7 linked regions of the Coturnix japonica genome follow. The protein of the gene in region 1 interacts with the protein of each later gene in a pairwise test. Links are inferred from orthologs where the notes say so. Each region holds a gene or a part of one and is shown on either strand. Other genes may lie near its edges. The genes, in order: ZGPAT, CDR2, DHX15, MIPOL1, BEN domain-containing protein 5-like, zinc finger and BTB domain-containing protein 8A and SSX2IP.

Evidence for each region.
Region 2: the proteins of ZGPAT (region 1) and CDR2 interact in binary tests that used the Homo sapiens proteins (3 or more experiments, as listed by UniProt). The two-hybrid records come from large-scale screens. The link is inferred for Coturnix japonica from reciprocal best matches to the Homo sapiens genes ZGPAT and CDR2.
Region 3: the proteins of ZGPAT (region 1) and DHX15 interact in binary tests that used the Homo sapiens proteins (3 or more experiments, as listed by UniProt). The two-hybrid records come from large-scale screens. The link is inferred for Coturnix japonica from reciprocal best matches to the Homo sapiens genes ZGPAT and DHX15.
Region 4: the proteins of ZGPAT (region 1) and MIPOL1 interact in binary tests that used the Homo sapiens proteins (3 or more experiments, as listed by UniProt). The two-hybrid records come from large-scale screens. The link is inferred for Coturnix japonica from reciprocal best matches to the Homo sapiens genes ZGPAT and MIPOL1.
Region 5: the proteins of ZGPAT (region 1) and BEN domain-containing protein 5-like interact in binary tests that used the Homo sapiens proteins (3 or more experiments, as listed by UniProt). The two-hybrid records come from large-scale screens. The link is inferred for Coturnix japonica from reciprocal best matches to the Homo sapiens genes ZGPAT and BEND5.
Region 6: the proteins of ZGPAT (region 1) and zinc finger and BTB domain-containing protein 8A interact in binary tests that used the Homo sapiens proteins (3 or more experiments, as listed by UniProt). The two-hybrid records come from large-scale screens. The link is inferred for Coturnix japonica from reciprocal best matches to the Homo sapiens genes ZGPAT and ZBTB8A.
Region 7: the proteins of ZGPAT (region 1) and SSX2IP interact in binary tests that used the Homo sapiens proteins (3 or more experiments, as listed by UniProt). The two-hybrid records come from large-scale screens. The link is inferred for Coturnix japonica from reciprocal best matches to the Homo sapiens genes ZGPAT and SSX2IP.

What each region holds. Positions count from the first base shown.
Region 1 is NC_029535.1:9,383,898-9,388,021, reverse strand, and holds the start of ZGPAT (zinc finger CCCH-type with G patch domain-containing protein), read right to left. Parts: upstream 2,801-4,124; 5' UTR 2,706-2,800; coding exon 2,089-2,705; intron 1,362-2,088; coding exon 1,228-1,361; intron 697-1,227; coding exon 538-696; intron 1-537. UniProt on the Homo sapiens protein: Transcription repressor that specifically binds the 5'-GGAG[GA]A[GA]A-3' consensus sequence. Represses transcription by recruiting the chromatin multiprotein complex NuRD to target promoters.
Region 2 is NC_029529.1:8,363,024-8,367,147, forward strand, and holds the start of CDR2 (cerebellar degeneration-related protein 2), read right to left. Parts: upstream 2,801-4,124; 5' UTR 2,590-2,800; coding exon 2,511-2,589; intron 1-2,510.
Region 3 is NC_029519.1:66,716,344-66,719,843, reverse strand, and holds part of DHX15 (pre-mRNA-splicing factor ATP-dependent RNA helicase DHX15), read right to left. Parts: intron 1,559-3,500; coding exon 1,365-1,558; intron 571-1,364; coding exon 411-570; intron 4-410; coding exon 1-3.
Region 4 is NC_029520.1:33,564,278-33,567,777, reverse strand, and holds part of MIPOL1 (mirror-image polydactyly gene 1 protein), read right to left. Parts: intron 2,729-3,500; coding exon 2,623-2,728; intron 1-2,622.
Region 5 is NC_029523.1:20,985,405-20,989,535, forward strand, and holds the start of BEN domain-containing protein 5-like, read right to left. Parts: upstream 2,801-4,131; 5' UTR 2,755-2,800; coding exon 2,712-2,754; intron 1-2,711. UniProt on the Homo sapiens protein: Acts as a transcriptional repressor.
Region 6 is NC_029538.1:4,576,839-4,579,037, reverse strand, and holds the end of zinc finger and BTB domain-containing protein 8A, read right to left. Parts: coding exon 2,186-2,199; intron 1,784-2,185; coding exon 1,611-1,783; intron 1,221-1,610; coding exon 888-1,220; 3' UTR 501-887; downstream 1-500. UniProt on the Homo sapiens protein: May be involved in transcriptional regulation.
Region 7 is NC_029523.1:14,404,853-14,409,094, reverse strand, and holds the start of SSX2IP (afadin- and alpha-actinin-binding protein), read right to left. Parts: upstream 2,801-4,242; 5' UTR 1,978-2,800; intron 1,961-1,977; exon of another isoform or gene 1,791-1,960; intron 120-1,790; 5' UTR 24-119; intron 1-23. UniProt on the Homo sapiens protein: Belongs to an adhesion system, which plays a role in the organization of homotypic, interneuronal and heterotypic cell-cell adherens junctions (AJs).

The sequences.
Region 1 (4,124 bases):
CTGTGGCACATAATGTGCTTAATTAGTGCCTCCAGTGCATGTCAGTAGCATGAGGATTCTCTAGGCTACTATGCTAATGATGTGTTATTAGCACTCAATAATCTCCATTAGGCTGAATTTACTGAGCAATAGGACACAGCTTTGTCCCTGTGACAAAACAGGGGCACAGACAGAGTGCTATCTGTGTATGCTCAGAGAACCTGGTTCTGTTGGTGTCACCTCTTCATAGTAAAAAGCCAGGCACAGCTGTTACTCATCAAGACACTGGGAGGTTTGAATACCTGTGCCTGGGATCTCTTACTCCTGTTGTGTTATACAGCTCTGTGTAGGCTCCGGAGAGATTAGAAGTCTCCTGTTTTACTTGCTCAGCTCACACACCCACTTGAAAAACAGACTAAGAACTGGAACTCCATTATAAAACATTGCGCCCTCTACCTGCTGCTACAGAAACATTTGAGCTTCACCAGACTCATACTGGTGACAGAAGGCAGACACAGATCACAAGGCACTTCTCTCACACCCCCACCACCCTCTCACCTTTAGCATAACCAGAATCATCAACACTGTCTTCATCAGATTCAGCAGATGAGGCACCATCTTCGCTTCGTAGTGGGGGAATTATACTATCTCCTTCTACAACAGCTTCCTTTAGCAGCAGGGAATCAAACTTCACCGTGTAGTAACCACTGTCAATATCTACAGAAGGAAAAGCAAGAAACAAGAGTTCAAGTAAACTCTCAATACAAACACTGCAGAGAGCTTCCTCAAAGTTGGCTTCAGGGAATGATGCGGGAGAGGAGGAAGGCCTGAAGAACACGTGTTAAAACAGCTGAAGGCTTAAGAGATTTACTTATAAAAATAGAGGAATATGGGCTGTCAACAAATGGAACTAAAAAGAAGTTTGACTTACTCCCTCTGACCCAACAAGTGCCAAAGAAAAAAACTTCTCAGAACAGAGGGGAGCCTCTATCAACAGCTCCCAGATTACTGCAGTTCTACTCTAATATGCAATTGTATATGCATGTATATTTCCTATCCTATTCCCTTCCCAAGCCTGACACAACTCAGAACACGTTCTCAACTACCTCCAGATTTTTAGTTCAAGGCCACAGCTACATCCTCAAGTGTTTGCTATCATTAACCAAAACGGTCATACTTTGTAATTCCTTCAGCATGGGTGCTCAATCTCTACACAGCTCTGGCACAACACCCACAAACACCACTCACCAGTTATTTTGGCAGCATACCATATCCCATCACTGTGTTTGGCCAGGCAGGCTGAGCCCACCTCCAGGGTACTCAGATTGGGCTCCTGAAAAGGCTGAAGCTCCTCCACAGAGACCACCTGGCCATGTGAAAACCTGCCAGGGAAGACAGAAAAGGAGTCAGATCTACCTCACTAGAAAGGGCTTGAAATATAAACCCCTTCCTTCCTGACAGGAAACTCAAACAAATTGTCAGCAGTGATGAATCTGCATCAGAAGGTTTATCATGCATCATTTCAATTAAAGAAGTCATTCGTTTTTCACCATATTCATATAATTTATGCTGTGTAATAGAAGAAATAATCCCACTCCCAAGAATGAAGCTTTCCCTGATAGGGAGATCTCTGAAAAATCACAGATCTTTTGAGATAATGAGGACTGCACACAGACACAGAGATCTCAGCCTCCTGCTCAAAGCAAAGCCAACTTCAAAGCCTGATCAGGCTGCTTAAGGCCTCATCTGGGTTAGATTTGAAGCTCTCCAAAGATGGAGACCCCGCAGCTGGAACAAAGGTACCATCAACAGACAGCCCTGGGTGTTTTTGTTTTAACTCATAAGCCTGTGACTAAAGTAGCTATTGGAATGATCAGGTAAAATCTCTGCAACTTGCCCACAGGGATTTCCACTTCATATCTGCATTACCTGAACTGTCCAGCTCTTTGATACCACCTGTTACCATACATAATGGATTTTAATAACACTGCAAAATCCCATTGGTTACAACAGCCAGCGTGGAACACTCAGATGTTCCAGCCTTTGAATCACACGGCCTTTATCAGCAGCGAGGATACGAGCCCCCTCCCCCTCCATATTTTTCTTTACCGACAGTTCTCTTTAAATCTGCATTTGTCATCCAAGAAGAACGGGCACGGCTTCAAGGACTTGTGAGTGGGGTAGAGATACAGCACTCTGACACCTGCACTGCCATCTTCCAAGTACTCCGTCCCCACAATCATGGCATTATGATACTCCAGCGTCCCCCACGAGCTGTAATACGGCGCTTTAACCTTCATCCCACTCAATTCCTCCTCCTCCTCCTCTCTATCAGACTCTTCCTCGCTGCATTTCAATTCACTCTCCTTGCTTTCTTCGTCTCCCGTCGCAGATCTCTCGCTGTTATCAGCTGAGGGCTCACCATCAGTCCCCAGCTCAGCAATGGCTTCCTTGAAGGCAGCATATTCCTCATCCTGGGCACAGCTATCGGGATTTTCACGCTGATTTACACAGGAGGCGCTTGTATCCAACGCAGCCAACAACTTGCTCTTCTTCACAGCCACCAGGCTGGACTCGGTCAGTTCTATCAGCTGCTTTAAATCTTCTTGTAACTGAATCAGATCCGATCGCTGCGAGGGGTCCTGGCCCGCCCCCAGAGCCAGCTCAACCTGCTGCAGCTGGGCGTTGTAGGCCTGGATGGCGGCTTCCAGGCTCTCCTCATCCATTGCGAATAGAAGCCAGGCCCCGGTTTAGGCCTCAATCCGAACCTCCCCGCTCAGCTCCCGCACCCCCACAGCACGGCCGCCATTACGCCCCCCCCACTTCCGCCCTTCTGAGCAGCCACTTCCGGCTTTTCCAGCTGTCGCGCAACGCCACTTCAGCGACCAATCTCTCCGTAGTGCGCTTGCGCAGTCGGGCCCGCCCCACGCATCCGGCGCCGCTGAGCATTCTGGGAGTTGTAGTTTAAAATAACCCCACCTCCCCGCCATAGAGGCGGTGTGAGAACTACACTTCCCAGAGTGCCTCGCGAGGGACGGCGCCGGCGGCTGGTGTGGTGGGGGAGCGAGGCGGCGCTGGGTGACGGGAGGAGCTCCCGGTACCGGGTGAGGGGCTGCGGTGTGCGCTGTGCGGCCGGGCCGGGGCCTGCGGGGTACGGAGGGACTGTGGAGGGATCTGAGAGCTCAGCCGGGCTCTGAGGGGTGGGGACGGCGGGGAGGGCTGCGGGCTGTGGGGCAGGGGGGGTCTAAGGGGCGTTGTGTTGTGACCAACTGCTTGTATAGCGGGTGCTGCAGCAGCACTGCTGTTGGAGAGAGGAGGGTTTGGGATAGGTGAGGGTTCCTACACACACCGCCTGGGTACGTGGTTTGAAGTTAAAAGAGGGAAGATTTAGGTTGGATGTTAGGGGGAAGTTCTTCACTAGGAGAGTGGTCAGGCCCTGGAACAGGCCGCCCAGGGAGGTTGTGGATGCCCCGTCCTTGGAGGTGTTCAAGGCCAGGTTGGACGGGGCCATGGGCAACCTGATCTATGGGGTCTCTATGGGGTCTCTATGGGGATCTATGGGGTCTCTATGGGGATCTATGGGGTCTCTCTGGTCTCTATGGGGATCTATGGGGTCTCCTGGGCAACCTGATCTAGTAAAGGTGTATGTTTGGTGGCCCTGCCAGGCAGGGGGGTTGGAACTACATGATCCTTGAGGTCCCTTCCAACCCGGCTCATTCTGTGATCCTGTGATCTGGCTGTGAGCTCGGTTCAGCTGTTGAAGATCCCATAATACTGTCATAAACAAAGTGAGGGGGCACCAACCTGCACATTCCTGCTCAGAACACTCCTCTATATCTGCACACCACTGGCTTCTTTTCTACGAGTCTTATATGTTCTCTAAGTTACTTTCAAGCAGACTTTAGCTTGCTCTTAAGTCCAAGAGAGAACAAACTTTGAGTTGAGAAGTGAGTTCATAATGGATGCTGTGCATTGTGTGCTGAAACACAGGTTAAGCTACTTGGAAGATCATGTTTTGAACATTGGATCTTGAGCTGTTTGCACTCTTCCTTTTGTGTCTGTGATTTGTCCTAGGGTTGGCTTAAGAGTTACTGATAAACGAGTAATGTCACTTATTAATCTGATGTTGGGAGAAGTTTAGATCA
Region 2 (4,124 bases), on another chromosome or scaffold:
TCCAGGGTACAGTGACTGTAGTTGTTTCATATTAAGAAATAAGTCATCTGAACACCCAGCTCCTTTCTGAAGGGAAGCAGCATGAGTATTGCTAGATGTTTCATATTATTATGTTTAAAGATGCATGCAATTTAAAAACTAACATAACGTGATGAAATCAATCCTGTGTTATTGCTAAAATAGTAACTACACTGTGCAGGTATTACATGTTCCAAATTCAACAGATTTCTAACGTTACTTTTCACCTCCTTCCCATTACCTGGGTCTGACCAGGTTTCTCCTGCATGCAGGCAGCCTTGTTAGTTCTCATATGGGTAGGGATAGCATCACTAATGGGAAAGAAGCAGAAGGAGGTTCAAGAAAAACCCAGATTCTCTTTAAGATGCCTGAAATGAATACATGAGACATACTGCATCACCCGCTGTTCTAGTTAGACAAGAAAACATTCTCAGTTTTCATGTGATTAAGATGCCCTTGTTTTAAGGTGTTTCTCATCTCCTTCCTGCCCTTCCCCAGTTCCCTTATCAGCTGGTTGCTGTAGCAGACAGAGGGCTGTTCCCAGACTGCTTTGTGCTAACCTTCACTTTGGCAGCATGTCTGAAGTGAGCACTTGGTCCAGATACATAAACCAAAGACTGAATTCAGACCAAACAGAAAAATGTTCCCATTCACTTGTCTGTGTAAGCTGTAGATGTCCTGCTCAGGACAAACAACAGCTGTGGTATCCATTACATGTACTTTAAGGTAGGAAACAACGGGCTGTAGCTGTCAGATGCTTTGAATAATGTTTCTGGAATTTATTTACAACAAATCACCCTGCATACAAGTTCTTGTTAGAGCTGGGAGCCGCGTGGCTCGCTGCTTTACACTTCGCAGTTTATCCTCACATAGCTTTTTTGTTGTAACACCCCTTGTTAAGAAACACAGCCTATTTCAGGGCTTTTTCTCAAACTGCTACCCCTAGAAAAGGAAAGAATTGAACCAATCTGACCTGTTCTGAAGTTAACAATTTATTGTGCACCCGTGTCTCTACATTGCAGATACCTACAGTCAAATGTAGAGTGCATTCTCCTGATACAGGAGAACACGTTTGTCTGAGAGTCACTCTGTGATACTAGAAGCACGCAGCACTTTTATGTGAACATCCTACAACAATTCTGCTTTTTTCCTGTTACCTGTTGGCAGCGTTTCTGTAGCTGAGCAAAAGACAGAACGTGGTACTAAACTCTTATTTTATGCTTTCATAGCCCATCTAACAAAGCAATTCAGATGATTTTTGTTCTAAAAGTAAGTCTATTCAGTAGTAGAATGCCTTTGTAGTACAGGATGTCTAAGTTGAAGTCTAACTGTAAAATTAAACTAAGTGGAAGTTTGTCCAGCTGCTGCCCTCCCTGAGCTCCTGGGCAGGCTGTGAAGGGCTGCAGGTTTGTGTTCAGTGATGTGTCCTCACAAACGCACTCCTTGATTTCTACACGTGCTCTGGTTGGTGGGTTGTGATAAGTTTCACTAGTGCCCAGCCTTGCTGCTCCATTTATGTGCACTTGTGTTGCTTGGTTTTAGAATGATGACTATTTTCCAGACTGTACAAGTCCACTATAGCAGGACGTTTCACAGATGTTCCCTTAAGGAACCTATCTGCATTTCAGCCTGCCCATCGGTTCACTTTCTCCTTTCCCTCTGGCAGGCTGTCAGTGCCTTCCACTTGGGCTCGTGAGAAGCTGATCCTTCGGAAGAGACGTTCCAGGTGCAGGGAGAGCAGTCAGCGACCCCTGGAGCGGAGCAGTGCCCAGCCCCGGCCGGGAACCAAGGGCGAGTATTCGCTCACGGTGGCAAAGAGCGAAGTTGAAGCAGCACGGCAGGAGAGCAGCACGGCTCCACCATGCACATCTTCTACCCCACAAATAACGACGCGGAAAAATACCAAACCCTGACTTCAGATTTTCAGCTCATCCCTTTGACAGCAAACAATGGCTTCAGCACCTCATTTCAATGGATCTCTTTATAACCTGTGGCCGCGGCAGCATCCCGCACACACACACACAGCACGCGGAGCAGCGCTGCCGCCTCGGGACGGTTCCCAGCGCTGCCCTGTGCCTCGTACGGCGGGTTCCGACTCAGCTCCCGCACGGAGCAGCCGCCCGTCCCGCCCGGTCCGAGCTCCGGAGCTCCCGGCTCGTTCTTTCCATCGCCGCGTCCGCCGATGTCTGTACCGCAGATCCATCGCCGTGTGCCCGCGGCTCAGCCGGTACCGTTTCTCCCTCCCGCGTGGTCCCGCCGCCCCATCCCGGCCGTGCTCCATCGGGCGCAGCCCCCGGAGCCGCCCCGCTGCCGGCAGGGCCGGGCACGGCAGCAGCCGCCCGTTCCGTCAGACAAAGCCGCACCGTGCCGGTACCGGCGGTCCCAGCTCCCGCCCCGTGCTCTCCCCGCCGCCGCCCCGCGCTCCTCCATCCGCCCCGTCCCCTCCGCCCGACCCCCCGCCCCGCCGTGCCGTGCCGTGCCGTGCCGCCCACCTTGCTGCAGGTCCTGCTGGTCGTACCACGGCTCATCCTCGCGGATCTCGAACTCCTCCACCAGGCTGTCGGCCAGCATCGCGCTCTCCCCTCTCGGTCCGGTGGCCGCGCTCACCTCGCGCCGGGCGGCGGCGGGGCCGGGCGAGCCGGCAGCTCGTCGCCTTACCAGCCGGCTCCGGGCATTGCCGAGCGGTTCCGGACTTTGCCGAACCTCTCCCCCTTCTGGTCGGGCCGCGCGGAGCCGCCGGCGACAACGTGGCACGGAGCGACCGCCCGCCCACCGCCGGGCCGCGATTCAAACACTACGCCCCGCCTCCTCTGCCGACAGCCAATGGGGAGCCGCCCGCAGGGCAGATCGAAAGGAGCGCCGGCCAACCAGGAGGCGAGTCCGTGGCGGGCGGCCAATGAGAGAGGAGGAGGGGTCGGTCCCGCCTGGCCGGCCCCGCCCCAGCGTCCCGCTGCGCGGCCTCCGGGCGGAGGAGGTCGGTGGTGCCCGCGGGAGGGGCGGCGGGAGCGGGGCCGGTGACGGGGCCGGGGCTGGCGGTGGTGTCGGTGCCGCGGGTTGTCTCGGTGCGGCTGAGGCGGCACGGGGCGCTGGGAGCGGGGCAGGGCGTGGCAGCTGCCCGGCCGTGCTGCTGCGTGTCCCCGCGGGGCGTCTCCTCACGCGGAGCCCCTCATCGCCTCGTGAGGCCCCTCAGCCCCTCAGCTGCTGCCGCTCCCTGTGAGGGCTCTGACAGGACGGCTCCGTCCCTTGGCTCCCTGTGCCGCTCTGTGCGCCCCGCAGTGCCGGGCAGCCCAACCTTCTCCTCCCGGCTCTCCCTGAGCGGTGCCGGTTCTTTGCTGTGCCCGGCGCTGCAGCAGGAGCAGCCGTTGCGCTGTGCCTCAGCCCGCAGCGCTTTGTGCTGTGCGGGGCGGCTCACGCGTGTTAATTGCTGTACAATTAAAGAGCACGTCTGTGGGGCAGGGAGGTGTGTGGGACCTCAGCTCCTCCAGGAGCCGGTTCATAAACGAGCCGTGCCAATAACGCAGGGAGCCGAGTCAGACCCTGCGCGCAGCTGTGAGTCATGGCGCTGGAGGCGCATTGTTCGGAGCCTTTTGTGAAACAAACGATACTTGGGAGTTTTCTGGAGCGACGGGAGCGATTTGTCTCTTATTCGTGCGTAGGAAGGAACTGAGTCAATACGGCTCGAGAATGTTAATGCCCAGCGTGTATCCGAGGGAGATGCCCGCGGTTCTGCACTGGAACCTGCCCAGGGTCGCAGCCCCGAGGTCTCACATACGTTCGGTGTATTTGTGAAGATGTGGATACACCTTCTAACAAGAACACGATGTTTTCAGTAGCGAATCACCCTTCACGTTTTCTTTATATCCCTCTTTTGAAGCATGAACGTTTCACGCGGCCATCGTTTCAATGCTGTTGTTCTTTGTAGGTTTCTCGGTTCAGTTTATGAAGCCGAACTCGTTGGGGAGGTGCAAAGTGTAATCACCTGGAAATGGGAAATTCCGTAACAGATGAATTTGATGACATGCATGACGGCCCCGCTCAATTATCTGCAAATTGAGTCATGTTCTTACCGATAAATGACCTTTGGATGTTGTTAGAGAATTAAATGT
Region 3 (3,500 bases), on another chromosome or scaffold:
AACCTGTAGGTATAGACAATAAAAAAGTTACCCCAAAGGCTGACAATGACCTGAGAAATGTTACACAAACAAAATACAGCAGCAGGAAACTAAACTCAATGTTAGCCATGATTTAAGCATGTTTCTATCACTATAGTACAGCACCTTCATTTCCATGTCCAAAAAACCATCCTAATTAAATATGGAAAGGTACAGATAACTGACTTTCTAGTATTTTCTTTAATACAAACTGCACTTAGGCCTTCCCTAGCATTACCTTTCTAATACAGTTCACCATTAACAGATCAAAAAGCCTCTCGATCTTTGTCAGTTGATTATTTTTCTTTATAATTACCTAGTGGTAAACGCATACACACTCTTCTTCAGCATGGCTGAACACAAAGATGTTGCTAGGCTTCATCATTACTGACCTTCAAATCAGCTCTCTGTCTTACAACTTCTTTCAAAACTCCCATCAAAATATCCGTAGCCAGTGTTCTCTCATGGGCCTCGTCAAGAATTATAACACCATAGCGCTCCAGCAAAGGATCATTCATTGCTTCACGAAGTAACATACCATCAGTCATATACCTGAATACAAAGACAATTCTATTTATTATATCTGATAAAGAATCCCCTTTCTTATTATTTATGAGGTTGCTTGAAGAAAGCCTTTATAAACCTTGTTTTTAGAATAGAAGAACTATTTCCAGCAAAGCAACAAATCCGTTTTCATTTTCACACAGAAGTTACCATAGGGTATATAAATGAAATCCGGCAGTAGAGATTAAGCTTAAAAAGTGAGAGGGTCAACAAGTTTTGGCAACATTAATGAGTAGTTTTAAGACTATTACTGGCAAACTTCCAGATCTACATTTAAAGACAGGGAAAAAAAAGGAAAAAAGATACAACTCAAATCCTAGAAACACTACTCCTGCAATAGTTTCGTTTTTAACTGAGCACTGTGAATGTGATCTGCAAACCACATACTAAGTGAGCTTGGTTTCACCTACAAAGCAGTGGAATCTGGAATAGCTAATAAATGAAACACTAGCATACATAAACTTCAGTTATGTGCCATAGATTTAGGCACAGATCAGTTCTGAAGCTTACTAGTACCTCTGCTTACTAGTGAAGTAAACTCCTAAACTTCACCAGAATTATCTTGGGTACTAAGTTACCACTGATAGAAGTCAACTCAACACATCATTTTTCTTTAAGAACAACTCATTTTCAAGTCTACGCCACACCCACGTTCTATATTTCTTTCACCTGACACTACAGCTTCCATCTCTTTTCCACTCACTCTTACTTCCTCATTACTCTTTCCAAAACCTTGCTAACATCCTCCACAGGGATCTTTATTGGACAGTCACCGTACTTACTTGAGAATGGTTTTTGCACTACTGCAGTCTTCAAATCGAATTGAGTAACCAACCTCCTGGCCCAGCATTACATCCATCTCATCAGCAACCCTCTGTGCCACACTCATTGCAGCCACTCTCCTCGGCTGGGTACATGCTACTCCCCTCTTTGGTCCAGGTAATGAGCGCATGTAGTCAACACACCATTGAGGGATCTGCCAAGAAATAGAAATAAAACAAAATTAGTTTCAACCACAGCTTCAATATCCAGATGCAATAAATATAACACAGTGGTTATATCAAATAAATATATTCATAATTTCACTGAGGTGACAACTGTATGTACAGAAATATCCAGAGTAGAAAAGCAGAGTATTTAGACTCAACACAATTAAGTAAACCATGCTCACCTTAAGCAAGTATGTAACTATCTCTGAAGTTATCAAGGAAATAAGAGGCTCACAGAACCTCTGAGCACTGTTAGTTCAGTAGCTTAAAATTATACTTTGCATTTAAAAAAAAAATATATATCTATATAATATATAATATATATATATATATATATATATATATATATTGTTCATTAATGTAGATTAATGAAAAAAAAAAAGATATTTTAATTATATACAACTTGCCTACCCAGGAATCATGACAAATAAACAAGATATGCTAATTTGGTTAACTTCTGTTCTTTGGAATTGTTATAAACTAGATATGAAATCCTAGTGTTTCAGTTTCTGTAACAACACGCTTTTTTGCTTATTTGTCAGGCACTGGTTTTCCAAGAAAGTCAGAATAATAAACAGCTTTACTTTGAAGACTTTGCAAGGTCAGTAACAGCCTGAAGAAAATGTAATATTATTAACATGTTCCATGTGATGTTTCATGAGGAGACAACTTCCAGGCAGAGCCAGTCCTAAGTTTACAGATGATATAAAATCTATTCCTCCTTACTAATTGGTTTTAACTATTATAAAAGGCTCACAATTACAGAAAAAGAAAGTGTTACCATTCATGAACCAATACAGAATAGCAGGAAGAACTGTGTAGTTTTAAGTAACCTAGGCAGATTTTCCTTCTCAAATGCTGTATCTCTACAGCAAAATGGAAACAACTGAACATATGCACAACAGACAATTGTAGACTAATGAAAAGCTGTTTTATTTTTTTCTTAAAAAGGAGAACATACCCCCCACTGTAAGTACAGAAATAAAATTTAAAAAAAGCAAAGATTAACAACTGAACAAAAGAACTCAGAAAATCCTATTCAAAACTAAAAATACCAACAGCTCATAAATACTGAAGACATGAGTCTGGAATCCTACCCAGTAGCACATACACACTTTCCAGGAGTGGAGTGTAGAAAAATGAAGCTGCTTCTCAAGTGACTAATAAAAACTCAACTCTGAATGAGGAGAAGCTTCTTAACTTTAAACAAAGCCAATCCTGACATCAGCTTTAAAGCAGGTTTCTCAGGACACAGTAAAGGGAAATAAAAATAATTTAGAGGCCATTTTCAAAGAAACAACAAAACCTACAATGCTGTCACCAAATGAAAGACAAAGCCTATGTAGACTTCAACACATGAATCTGATTTAGAAGACCATCAGAACAGTTTTCATGTCTCACTTTAAAAGAGACAAAGGACCATGATGTATGTTTGTTACTTGAGTGATGATCACTTTCAGGAACGTGAAACAACTTCCATCATCTAGATCTTACAGACCAAAGTTAACTCCACTGATGCAAATATAAAAATCCTAAATTTCCTTAATAAAAAGGAACCTCAATTAAATCTCAACCTCAATGACTTCAATAGAGAGATTTTCAAAGATAACTACCAACCAAAAAAAAAGGGGGCAGAGAAACACAGAGACCTGTGAGATCAAAGATGAAAGCAGTGAGGATTGTTGAAGTCCATTTTCAAGCCAAAAGAAAGGCACATTTTTTAAAGGAATGTAAGACAGGAGAGGAAGGAGCACTGTTCTGCCTGTTCTGAGATACTTCAATCCAATGAACTTTCTGTGTAAAGTTAGGGTAGAATTCACAACTGTCATTGGTTAATAGTTGAGTCCAACTTTTACTCATGTCATCTCTCTTGTAGGCTACAAGGACAGCAGGAGATAAAGCCATGCTCAGTATAATCACAGAATTGTA
Region 4 (3,500 bases), on another chromosome or scaffold:
AATCTAACAGGCTAGGGAAGAAACGGTAGTAATCTGTGGCAAATATGACCACCAGAAATAACAGCCTCTAATGGTCAAGCATCTGCAATCAGAACTGTGAATCCCCTCCTGAACTATAAACTCCAGTCTAGAAAAATCTTAAAATAAAAATCTTCTGAAAATAAGCCATTTATTGCATGTGGTAAACATTTTTTTCCACCATGTCCCTATTCTGCATTTATTATTCACTTTTTTATTCTCACACAAACCATCTCACAAATTTGCACTTCTCCTCTTTATGTTTTTCTCTGAACAAAGTAAAAATCACAAAATGAAAAGCTTTAGGTTACTTCCTTCTGAAGACCACTATAGTAAAATTTTAAGATGGCCCTTGTCTTCAGCTTTTCTGTTCTTGCCAAAGGGCTCATTTAGGTAAAATCTATCAAAGAGAGAGTTCCATTTAAAAATAGAATTGTAATATTCCTCAAAGTAGATAACATTTTATGGTGAACCTTTCTGATGTTTTTTACAGTATAATTTGTGGAGTCATTTTCTTATCATAAAGTCAGTACAAAGCAATAATAAAAATGCAAACACCCATATTTACAAGCGTCGCTCTACCATGTGTTATATGCTGTGGTAATTAAACATTAACTAGTAACATGAAATCTCAGCAGCACGTGTTCTCCTTTCCACAAAGGAGACTTAAAGCAAGGGAAAAAAACTTTTTCCTGAAACACACTGAGTCTTTATTAGATTCTACTTGTCCATTAGAATTCTCCCCAAGGTTTTTACGACAGTCACGTATAGACCTCCACAACGACACATACAGACCTCCATAAATTCATCTTAGTTCACATCATTCCAGATCTCAAAATGTTTATTCAAACTTAGGAAGAGTCTTAGAACAGTAAAATTAGAAGCAAAAATGGTAGACTTTAACAAGGCTTTTTTTTTTTTTTCTTTTTCCAAACAGCTTAAGTACTAAGGCTCTTATCCTCTCTCACAGCATTTAAATAATTTTATACTTCCTGAACCACTATAAGGAGCAAAAAGGTTATCTTTTTAAAAGACGATCTTTATTACTCAATGCAGCTCTCGCTAAAATTTGGCATGTCTTCTTTTTTTAATTGTAATAACTATGATAATCATTCTATCAATAAACCTGCCATGCTGTTTTAGGGCGAACATCATGCTTAGGACATAATTAGAAAGTTTAAACAGTAATGCAAGAGAAGACAATTTACTAACAAATATTTCAATTGTTTCCATAACAGGGAGACTAAATAGCATTTTGACAGTCATATATTCATTTCCAGGTTTTAACGAGGCTTTAACACCTATATCAAATAGAGTATTTATGTGTTACAGGTGCACAGAGGTAAAACACTGTGCAAACATCCAAGAACAAACACAAAACTTGGAATTCAACCCAAACAATTTGCATTAGCATTTGGCTGATGGATGCAACTATGGTATGCAGTGCAGCCTTCTTTTGTCTTCTAAAAATACAGAAAACAAGATTATTTAGGGTGTTAGAAGAGCAAAATTCTGCCTGTATTTCACTTAAACTTGACTTCTAATATCTACTTTCTCCTTTCTCATTCTCTACCACAGAAAATTTAGCAATTTTCTTCTACTTGTAATATGCACAGCCAAACTTACTCTCAGGAGTCTCATGTTAAGACAGCCATCTGTTTTTTCAGTTTATTTTCATTGCTGTTTTCCTAGTTACTCCTTATTCCAGTACTGATATTTTGGGGACAGGTATTATTACTATCAATATTATTTGAATATTTGTCCTCCACAAGGACACAACTTTACCTAGCCTACACTGTATTTGTAAACAAATAGCATGATTAATTCAGAAAAGTACTCTTATTTATTCATTTGAAACACATGGAGAATATTTCATCCACTGAGTACAAGATACACATTGGCACTTTTAAATAATAATAAAAATGCTCACCTTCATTACTTTAGAAATTTCTGAAACCACAGAATGCAAACTGTTTCCAGGCTTGTGTGTATACGAAAGGATGAATAACAAATATCAGCATGCATCCACTCTTAACTATAAACTTCAAAACCTTTCCTTTTGGCTATTTGTGTAAGTCTCTTTCACTGAAGACATAACATAATCAGACTAAAATTAATTAACTGCCAGAAGAACACATATTTTCAGGAAAAGTGCAGGTCTCTAGCTGAGGTGAATGTGCGACTACCTTCAAACACTGAGAGAGGGGTAGTATTGCTCTGAATGTGCTAAAACAATAAGTGGTATTTGAACTGCTGGTTGAAAGGTAGAGGCACTGGTAATCATTATTTCCCCTTGTTTGTTCAGGACCTTCGAACAAAACAAACAACCTTTTTGTGATTGGATTGACATGGTGTTAACAATGCATTTAATGCCCAAATCAGTATGAATACAGGTAAAGCTCCTGCTAATACCAGTACCAGGATGTTAAAGCCACCTATTTTCTAAGCAACTCTAAACAGCCACACGCACACAAAAAAAAAAAAAAAAAGTCAAATCTTCCCTCCTTTAGCAAATAAAGCTAACACTCACTAGGCCACGTCATATAGCAACCGCTGGTACTGTATGAGCCATATAGCCATCTGTTAAACGCTTGCCTACTATACCTGCAATCTTTTCTGCAATCTTAGCTTCTGTAGCTCTCTCTTGCAGTTCTAAGTCCAGTTTTATTGTCTTCAGCTCTTTGTCCTTTTCCAACACCTCATCTTGAAGCTGAAATGAACAAGTGTAACAAAATATTAAATTACAGTTTTCTTATCCCCAAAATACAAATATTGGTAATACCACAGAAATTCAATTTATTATATTTATTAATTTAAAGGACAATTTTATTTATTTAAGATCAATTATCTTATCTTGCTCTTTGAGAAAAGCAGCAACGTGCATGCCATTGTTTTTTTTGGGAATCCCCTCTTCCGATAACTCTGTCTGTGGTCCTTCTAGCTAACAAAGTTCAGTTACATGGAATATGATGTAGGTGGTGTCTGTATGAGTAGACTATTTCCCATCAAGAGCACTGACATAATTTATGTCTGAAGGGCTGTAAATGCATAATTTTCAATGTGCATCACCTGATAGAAAAACGATATTTTAATCTTTTAATTAGGAATTCACTGGCTCTGTTTATGGAGAAATGTCTGAGCTTACCATTGAATGGTCAAGAACATTTCATGTAATTACAGGACGGTTGAGGCTGGCTGGCCCTCTGGGTTCAACTGCTCCATCCCCTGCTCAAGCAGGGAAACCCTGAGCAAGTCGCCCAACACCACATTCAGGTAGCATTTGGAGATCTACAAGAAAGACATTTCACAGCCTCTAGGCAGCCAGTGCCAGCACTCAGCCATCCACACAGTAAAGAAGTGCTTCCTGATAGACAGAACCTCCTGTGTTCCAGTTTGTTCTCACTGCCTCTTGTCTCAGCACTGGGGAGCATTTAGTGAAAAGGTTATACATGTTTCTGTTGTTTATGCAGATAGGACTGTGC
Region 5 (4,131 bases), on another chromosome or scaffold:
GGAAGGAAGGAAGGAAGGAAAGGAAGGCAAGGAATGAAGGAAGGAAGGAAGGAAGGAAGGAAGGAAGGAAGGAAGGAAGGAAGGAAGGAAGGAAGGAAGGAAGGAAGGAAGGAAGGAAGGAAGGAATTAAAATATTGAAAGATTTTATAAAGAAACAATAACTACAATGAGCAGTGTATGAACAATTAACTTTTAATTTCCTGTGAGAAACAAATAAGGAAATACTAATAAAACTGAAATACAAACTCTTACATGACCAAAAGGTATGTTTTCCGTAAAGTATAATTGATATACAGAACCTCTTGACACAGCGTACTTTCAAAACTAAACTTAGGTTGAAAACACCTCAGGTGCATGTAAGCAAACAAGAATATAATGAACTCCATAACACAGAGTGATCTGTGTTGCCGTAAAGCATAGGTAAGTTACCTTCAGAGTTCCTGTAGTGCTGTTTTCTCGTTTGAAAATAAGAAATAACAATACTTCAAGAAGAAAAGATAGGAGAGCTATTATTTGTGTCTTCTGACTCAGGAACAGAAACATTTGCCAAAAAAAAAATAAAATGTAACAGCAAGTGCAACAGAGCCACAGTGGCTAAATCAACTCAAGTAGTTTGAACAAGGTTGTTCTTTCATAGCTTTGTTCTCCCTGCAAACAATAGAATCAAAGAATCATAGAATCATAGAATCATAGAATCACCAAGGTTGGAAAAGACTTCAAAGATCATCCAGTCCAACCACACAGAAAAAAATTAAACGTGTGTGAAATGCAGGACTCAGAGCTGGACTCACATCTCCTCAAGAATGGCCCAAATCTGACAGAGCGTGATGACATAGGAAGTAGGATGTGACATGAACAAGAATATTCCCTACCTACAATATATGACATCAGTGTTGAAAACCTAAACTAAGTGCAGTGGGAGACAGACGCTTCTTCCAGAGCCTACTTTCTATGCCCTCTCTAAATAAATGGGCCAAGACCACTACTTTCTTTCATTCAGTTTCCTCAAGTCCCATTAAATTGTCAGGACTTTTTTCCTATTTTTGTAGCTTTTTGCATTGAAGTTACTCAGCCAGTAATCCAGACAGGGAGGGGGCTGCAAATTAGAGCTTCAAAACAGTCAGAGAGGCACTGAAAAACTGAGATGAACATGTATCAAGAACATGCAACAAAACTTGATTTCACCACAAGCTCATGGAACGGGTGCATGTACAAGAAAATGATGGATTACCCAGTTGGAATGGGCATGACAGAGTTAAAAACAGAAACCAAATATTGTAAAGATACAGATTTAAAGAATATAGCAGGAAACTCAATGTAAAAGTAACTTTATGCAATAATCCAGAAATAGTGAGCAAGTTCTACCATGTTATATAGAACATTCCTGGCAAGCACATAGGCATAGGTGGATGAAGTTTGCTGAAGAGCTGACAAAGTCAAACGGCCACTGGAGATGTGTTCCATTACACGGCGCAGTCAAAGCAGATCAGCTGTGTTTAGTACAGTGTTGTACAGCAGATGAAACAAATCACCTGCTCCATGGAAAGCTTAATGTATAAGAAACTTCTCAATGCTGTTTCAGGGCTTCGTAAAGAGTAGGCTTGAAACAGACTGGGAGTTCAAGAACCTTAGGCCAACCTATTCAGACACAGCCTTTGTAGTATTGTTTTTCAGAGGACAAGAGTATTTCACATATTTTTCACTTTATTTCACCTCGAGTGGTCCAAAAATCCAATGTCAGTTCTATGGATAGTGCATCTTCCATACACATGGAGCCACTTCTGGGGGATAAAAGCACATGCACAGCAGCACAGCAGGCAATGAAAATGAGCTTTTGGTCCAGGAATCTAGGAAATTCACGTGTATGATGCTGTGGGGGTATTAAACACTCAGAAAAGCCGTCATCACCTTTGTTTCATCCTCACAATGTTGATAGATTTTCCTAAGTTAGTTTGGGAGCTTTTGTGAGGTGGTAAAGGCCTTCATTGTGTTCTGTTACAATAGGAGAGACCCCTCTACCTAGACAATCCATACCGCACCTGAAGAAGCCCAGAACTTGAGTTCCATCCACAAACTTATCTTCACACACACAGCCAGAGCTATTGCCAGCAGGGGCATAATGAGACAATCCCACTTCACCCCTCGGCTCACATGCCATAAGTGCAGCGCTCCTTACAGACCCAAAGACAGGGCAGGCAGCACCTGCAGGTCAGCCCGGAGCCAGCAGCACGGCGGAGCGGCTTCAGTTCCAACATTCAGCCTTCGCGTATTATTTATTTTACACTCTAGGTAAGGCAGGGGAAGGTTTCTCGTGTGAGGGCACAGTCTTTGCTCTGCTCCTCACCACACCGCTCCGTCCCCTCTCGCGGCGCTGGCTGCCCCTCAAAGCCCCGCAGCCAGAGCTGTTCCCGCCGGGTCCTGAGCCAACCCGCGGCCCTTTTTCCCTGCCCCACGGCCACGTCGCCCCTGGAATGGGATTCTCCCCTCCTCTCAGCTCCCCGTGCTGTGGGCTCTCTCCCTGCTCCGGGCCCCCTCTGCACCTCAGAGCTTCCCTCCCTTTCCCCGGCGAGATGAGCTGCGTTACCCGCACTCCAGCTTTAAGGCTGCTGGAAGTAAGGCTTCCTCCCTGCTTGAAGCCCCTCTCCTTCATCCCCTGGAGACGGGGATCTCTTCCCCCCTCCCCCCGCCCAGGCGCCTGCGGCTGCACTGACCCGTCTCTGCCGTCCTGCTCCTCTCCGCCATATTTGTTGTCATCCCCTCAGCCCCCCCCCCCCCACCACGGAGCGAGACGCTGCCTGAGCTTCGCCATGGCAACGCACGTCACCGCCGGGGGAGCCCCGCGCTCCCCCTCAGCCCGAGCGCAGCCGCCGTGGAGAGACGGGAACGGAAGGGAGGGGAGAAGAGGTGGAGGGATGCTGCGCTGTCACTGCCCCCCGCACTCGAAAAGCCAGCCCTGGAGCGGCAATGGCTGAGCTGCCATCGCTGGGTTGCAGGTGCGCTACCGTCCCGCCCTACCGCAAAGCCCACACATTACGGAGCTGTTATTAGGGAGCCGCTTTTTCCCCCTCATTTTTTAGGGCAGCCCAGTGGGGGGCTTCATTATGAGTGTGTGTGTTGCCCGTCTGTCTCTCGCCCTAGCAGGTGAGTGCGACCATATGGCAAATACACTCAGGCTTCTTGGGGACGGGAGGGCTCCTACGTGCGCTGCAGGCCCGCTGGGTGACACCCACCATGTGGCAAATACAGCAGTGAGTTCTGCGGTGCAGAGAAGTTAATTATGTGTGTGTTTCCCCCAAGACACGGGGTGCTGGGTCTGACTGTGTCTCACTAACACGAGCTTGAGACAAAACCTTCATCACATGTCCTACAATTCTGTGATTCTGTGTGATGTCCTCTGCGAGGTTAAGCACGGGACAGGCGGTGTCACAAGTGCAAGCACAGATCCTTGAGTCACTTGTATTTACATACACAGACAGACACGAGGGGTGAGCACACACCAAACTGAGCGGCCAACTGAAATGGGAAGTGTGTGTGCAATGCTGAGCAGTGGAAATGGGCAAGACTGTTTATGACTACATAAACATTTATGTGTTTGCTTGCTTACAGCTAATAAATTAATGTTGCCACAGAGACCAGTGACCTGTTAGTGAAATGCTCCAAGCCTGAAAATCAAGGCAAGTGAAACTGCATCTTTCTCCACCTAAAGTGGTGTTATTTCAATATTACTTTACTCTCTGTCTTCCTATCTGCTATGTGCATTTTCTCCTCCAGTGCAACACCTCATAACAAGACTCACATGGTTCTACACAGCTGGATTTTTCTGTAGGGTCTGTTACCTCCTCTTCATTGTGTTTTTCCCTGGCTTCTGCAGCCTTGTTGATTCTTTCTTCAGTTCATACTGCTCTGGTTATTTTTCTCTTCATTCTCGACATATTTCTATACCACATCCACGGTCACAAGTTTTCAAACTCGGCCACATTCCTGTGCCAGTGACTGAAATATCTGTCTAAAATAGTGCACCAAGGGGGCTTTGTGATGGGGTTAGAAGTCCTGTTGGAACATGGATATTGTTCCTTGCTTTGTGCCAGCAGTCAAAAGCCATCGAGGGACATCTAGATTCAAGCTCTGGAA
Region 6 (2,199 bases), on another chromosome or scaffold:
AATGACTACAAGCATTTAGGGATGGCGCTGAGAATAATAAAGGTGTATAAAAGCAATAAAACCCTGCTCCACCAGGGCAAATCAGTAATTCTTTTGCCTGTACTTAATGTCTTCCTATGGGCAGATTGTTCCATTTGCCCCTTGTAGCCACTTCACATCTTTTTTTTTCCCTAAAGAATCCAGTCCCACTATTCTTAGATGTACAATATCTAATTAAATTGGGTATTGATCCAGAAATCCCTTTGCTTCTAGAAACTCCCTGGAGTACACAGGAATTAATAGTGTCATCTTTGCTGTTTGCAGTTAAGGTTTCAGGCCTGCATTGACACAGTTTTCCCCTTCCAGCCCAAACACAACACATCTCAGACTGAGTTCCCCATTTTCAGAGGGAATAAGTTTGACAAGAAAATGCTTTTCCAGTTACATGCTAAACATTTTTATATGCTTTTTCTTAATTCTTTGCCTAGCTTTTCTAATCATGACATAATATGAAGACTTAATGAAATTTCATGGAAAATTATCTTTATTTCTGAATGCTGAAGAGTAATTTACACCGATGTGCAACTTTTGTAAGCATTTAGACCTCACCTCTTTGAAAGAGGTTTTGAGAAGAGACTCACTGTACCGTAAAACCTCGTCCTTGTACTTCAGCCTCCGGGATCAGCCGTTACTCCATTGAGGGCACATTATTTCTAATGAAGCAAAGTATGGGGATTTCGATAGCAAAACTCAGGATGGACTCAATGATATGTCCATGAACACATGCAAGTCTGGCCCTGTCCAAGAGAAGCCAGCAGGTCTCTGTAGATGTCAGGCTGGTGGAGGGCTCACGGGCAGACAGGATTTCCACGTAAAAGGAATTCCATGCACTCGTGTTTGTCTCACAACTACCTGATATTTGGTTTTACTTCCTTCTCCTCTGCTTCATCCTCACTGTCATCAACCTGCTGGATGACCAAGTCAGACGACCCGTCCTCCACGATCTCCACATCGGATTTGTTGTCTTCCCCGTAGTGCCACCTGGAATCCTTATCCCCGTCTGCTGGAAATTCAAGGGGCGCTTCAGCCTCCAAGTCAATGCGGATGCTGTCGATGCCGGCTTCAGCCAGGCACTCGTTGCAGAGCCTGTAGCGCCTGGTCCCCTCCTGCACCACCTGTCCCGTCAGCTCCGTCACGTGGCGTTTACACTTCCTGCAGATCAGCTTACAGGCCTGATGAATCTGGGAAAATTGAGAGGAATCCATTTATACAGCATCAGAGAGGAAGCGTTTAATGACAAAAAGTAAAGCTAGAGTGCCATCAAATGTCAGCATTAACTCATTGTGAGCAGCGGTCAGACATCAATCACGAGACATCCACAGGAGCTCCAGTTGTGCACTTCATCCCATTACAGACCTCACGCAGTGCAGTGCCTTTGTGAGCCAACAAAGGAACTCATCCTCTTTCATTGGAATTATGCTTCAAATGGACTTAAGCAAAACCAAGTTAATTATCTACTCCCTATTCTTTACGGGAGTCAATGTATCAACCAGACAGGCTGGCACTGTGTTTAATCACACTGAGATGGACTCACACATCAAGTGAAACTCACGGTTACCAACAATACGTACAGTGCGGAAGTGGCTGCTGAGGTGATCCAGCCTGCTGAACCGCTTCCCACACGCCTCACACGGGTACGGCCGCTCTCCTGTATGGCACCGCAGGTGACGCTTCAGGTCTGCTTTCCTTTTCACCATGTGAGTGCAGAACGGGCACTTGAACCTCATCCTGGGCAGATCGTCTGCTGGGAAACAGTTGGAGTTTTAAAAGAAGTCGTAACATACCCGTCGTTTAGTTACTCCAGTTACTGAAAGCAACAGAAACAGAACAGAAAATGGCTTCTATTTTAAAGACATTGTAGGTCTTTTCAGATACAGCTCTTGTGTAAATTACAACATCGAGGGAAAAGGAGCGGGGCTATCAGCAACATTACAGTGAGAATAACAAACCAAAACGATCGTGACTGTGTAGCTCTAAGACATGAAGAATATGTACTTTGCAAAGCTCAACTTCACTCATTCATCACTCTCCAAGTGTTGATCTCAGCTTTCCAAGCCTACATCCCTGAAAACACAAAGCCTTTCTGGTAAATGCTCCTTCAGCACTGTGTGTTTCTCACTGACACAGCACGGAGACCCCCTCCTACCTTCAGCCCAGCCT
Region 7 (4,242 bases), on another chromosome or scaffold:
AAGGAAGGGAACGCAAGTCTCACCTGTTCCTAAAGCTGATAACACTTACAGGGCAGAGCCAGATTTAGCATTCCAGCTCTCAGAAACAATGCAATTCACAAGGTTCAGTAGCAGGTAACCTGTAAGATAAAAAAGGCACCAGGTAAAACGAGTGGAAGGTCATCAATGTAACTACTTTCTCTAATGAATGCCAGGAGATTGAAGAACTGGATTTCCAAAAAACTTTCCTCGATGTTTCCTAACAAAAGCTCTTAATCTACCATGCCAAAGGATTTACTAATGAGTGATTATTGGTGGAGAAGGAGAAATAGTAGGAAAAGTTAAGTATTTTCCCCTTTCTCCTTCTTTAAGTATCGTATAAGTGTTGCATGCCCCATAAATGCCCCAAAGAGATAAAAATTAATCACAAATGGGATCTGTTTGTGGCATTTCTGTTGTTGGGAGAACTTTCAAAGGTGCTGGGTAGGTCAGTGAGAAAATTCACTCATGGTACAGAGTTATTTAGAAAAATAAACACTAAGATTGAATGATAAGAACCCCAAAAGGTTGTATTCATAGTTCACAAATGGTAACAAAAATCCAGGTTTGTGAACTGTTATTATTAGGAAGCAAAAAAGCACAACAACAACTCAGCTGTGTACTTAATCCAACAGGCTCTATGTTAAGCACAATCATGCAAAAAGAGATCACAGAGTCACTGTGATTACTCCTCTGGGCAGTTAACAAAACATTGGAGCCCTGGACACAAAAAAAAATGAACATCATAATGGCTCCATACAAACACTGAGATTCCTCAGTTGAAAGAGCACACATCATTATGACCTTCCCTATACAAAATGCAGAAAACATCTGAGAACGGTGGAAGGTCAGCCCATGCTTCCATACAAGAAATTAACAAGCTGCAAGTTTTCCGCTAGAGCAGCTAGAGAAATAGGACAAAACATGTACAGAAACACGTATAGAAAAATATCACCCCTTCTTTTAACACAGTTGTGCAAAATGAAATGAGACATTTAGCATGAAGGCTGGGGAAAAAAAGCACTGTTAAATAATAGACTCGCATCACCATGTGCAGGGAATACAAACTATATGAGCTGGCTGTAATCATATGACACACATCAAAAGCCACCGAATGCAAGAAGCAAGCTCAGCTCAGAAGCCCTTCAGCTCCGCGGTGCAGGGCGCTGGGAGGACACTCTGACAGAGGGATCGCTGCTCAGCAGCGTTTTTCCCTTAGCATCTGCTGCCAGCCGCTTTCAGAGACAAACCGAACCCAAGGAACCTGGGATTGCCTCCTGTGCCCTCTCCAGCCCAGCCAATGACTGATACTGCGCTTTCTCTCTCCCAGACCAGAAAGAACGTTTTTCTCCCCCGCTCCTTTCCGAAACCTTCATCAATGGCATCAAATCCCGTTTCAGTTTTAGCACCGACATTTACCCCGCACATTCGCGTTTCATTCCGCACACCTCCCGATCGGAGCCATTCCCCTGAAATACCCGAATTCCTGTCATACATCGCAGCACACGGAGCCCTGTGTAACCACCTCACGGGCAGCACGGCGCTCTGCGCAAACAGGGGCTGCAGCAACACCACGAGCACATCCTGCGTTACAATTCAATCCACACAAACAGGATTTGGGGTTCTGATTTAAGCAGCACTCAATCATGCCAAAGCCGCACATCCCCCACTCCCACCCCGCTCGGAACGCGACCAGCCGCGGGCAGGGTTGTACAGGGCTGTTCCCGGGTGTTGGCAGGACCAACGCCGCCCGACAGCTCCTGGGCTCCCACCTCGCCGCCCCGCGGACACCGCCAGGCGCTGGGCCTGCGTCCAGGGACGAGCTTTCCTCAGCCCTACGGCTCAGCCCGGGCCTGCCCAGCAGCACCAACCACACCGCGGCTTCCCCCGCAGGCAGCCCGCAGCCAGGTCGAGCTGTGACCGCCCTCCCACCACCAACGGCCACGCAGCGTCCGTTACCCGCTGTTACACCCGCCTCCCACACCGCCGGTAAGGAGAAGGAGGAGGAGCCCCGTGTAGCACCACCTGCTGCGGCGAGCACACACGGAAGAAGGGAGGAAGGACCGGCCCCGGCCCAGCTCCGCGCGGCCCCGTGTCCCGCAGCTGCCGCCGCCGCCTCGACCCCGCGCCGGGCCCCAGCGCCGCTGCCATTGGCCGGAAGGTTGCTAGGAAACCTCCCCCACGGGCCCGCACCGCCCCTGCGGGCCGCGCCGCACCTGCTGGGGCAGGACACCTGTTGGCGGAGCGGGGCTGCGGGGTGACAGAGCGCCCCGGGGCGGGGCCGGGCACGGAACGGCGTCTGCTTCCATACAACAGTGTATTCAGCATTTAGTTGTGCCCCGCTGGGACCCGCTCGTCTGAAAAACGCGTTTCAAACCTGGCTTACCGAGTCCCGTCCCTAAAACGTATCCCTCGGTGCCACTTAAACACCTGCAGGGATGGGCACCCTCGAAGTCCAAACCTCCCTTGGTGCGACTCCATCCCGTACTGGGTAACATCAGAGTTTGCATATTCACTGTGCTACTGCAAAAGAAAAATGTTGGTTAACCACAAACCCAGTCGTGTATTCCAACCCGCTGTATTACCATCACTATCTTGTAAGCATGATAAATTTATAAGATTAACAAAGAAATCCTACAGGTCTTTACCTCCATGTGTTTTTATTTGACCAGCTCGAGAATGAAAAATAAGGTCTAAACCAGACTTTCAAAGTTCTCATCAAAACTTAACTCCCATGAATGGAATTTACTCTTATTACTGGGACTGGAATTGAGGCCATTTCTCTTTTGTGTTGGCAGACCATGATTAGCTCACCCTGCAGATAGAAATAACTATTACAAGGTGACTAACTACTACACTATTAATAACTATTACACTATTAATAACTATTACACTATTAATAACTATTACACTGATCAGTTCTTGCTGTGTAGGCAGCACACTGCCAGTGTCTGCAGAAATACCAGTTGTTGGTTTGGCAGTAACAGTAATAAATGTTTTAATAATTTGTTCTTTTTAGAGTTAGGAAATCAATCCTTGCAATGCAATATATGTATATTTGTTTTGTTTTATGACTCGGGTTAATTGTAGGAACTTTGGACTTCTACACTGCAGCACTGCTGCAGGTGCACTCTTAGAAGAAAGCAGTCTTACACAGAATGTAATATGTTAATCGTAATAGCAAGTGAGACAACAGACATTGTTCATGGGAAGGATTAAGTTCCTGCAGCTTTAGAAGATAATGGATGGGATGTGTGCTCCTGAATTCCCTGCGTCTATTTGATCTTAGCAGCTGTTTCTGAAGTTGGTGCTATTCACATGAGAAATCCCCAAGTGCTTTCCTGTGTGTCGTGGGTTGGGTTTTGTTTATGTTTTAAAGGGCTGGCCAGAAACAGAGAAGTCTTTATGGGATGCTTTCAGGCAACAGAATCAGAGCAAACTTTACCTTATAAAAAATAGCCTAACACTGCTCTTTATTCATAATGCACTAATTCAGTGTAATATAAGACTACCTAAACCACAGTGACAAACACTTTCAAGTGGTTTACACCAAGGCGTAGGTAGGTAGGATTTAGTGAGGAAAAAAGAGTGGACCCATTGGAGATTTTGGTTCTTAAGAGACGCAGTAGGGACATCAACTATTGCTTGTGCTCTCTTGAGCAAACTTACCATAAATATCCTGTAGTTGATGTTTGGTCTTTCACAGTAACCAAAATTTTAAGACTGAAATTCCTTGAACAGTTTTCTGTTTATTTTTCATGCTGATAGCTTCCTTGCCTAGGTTGAATTAGTGGAATGATCTGGATGAATGATCACTTTGCCTTGCAATTTTGCAGCTTAAAAAACAAACAAACAAACAAACCAATTTTGGTACTTCATAGCTGTTCCTCTCTCTGATATAGATTATTATTCTTAAAATTCATTTGTCATATTTCTTTTATAAACATAATTTATAGCATAAATGAATAGAGAAATTTAGAAAATTTATTTATCCTTTATTCTTTGTTATTCTTTGCTAAAGAATAATAATGATTAAAAAAAATGGGATTAAGAAAGACACTGAAGTACTGGGAAGGTTGGGGATTAAAGGGACGCTTTGTGAAATTGAATACAAAATGCACCTCTATAAAAATAAATTTAAGCAGGATTAAACTGTAACTTGTACGAGAAAGTAAAGAGGCAGCTACAATTCAGAAAGAGATGGACTGATCCACATTGTGTCTG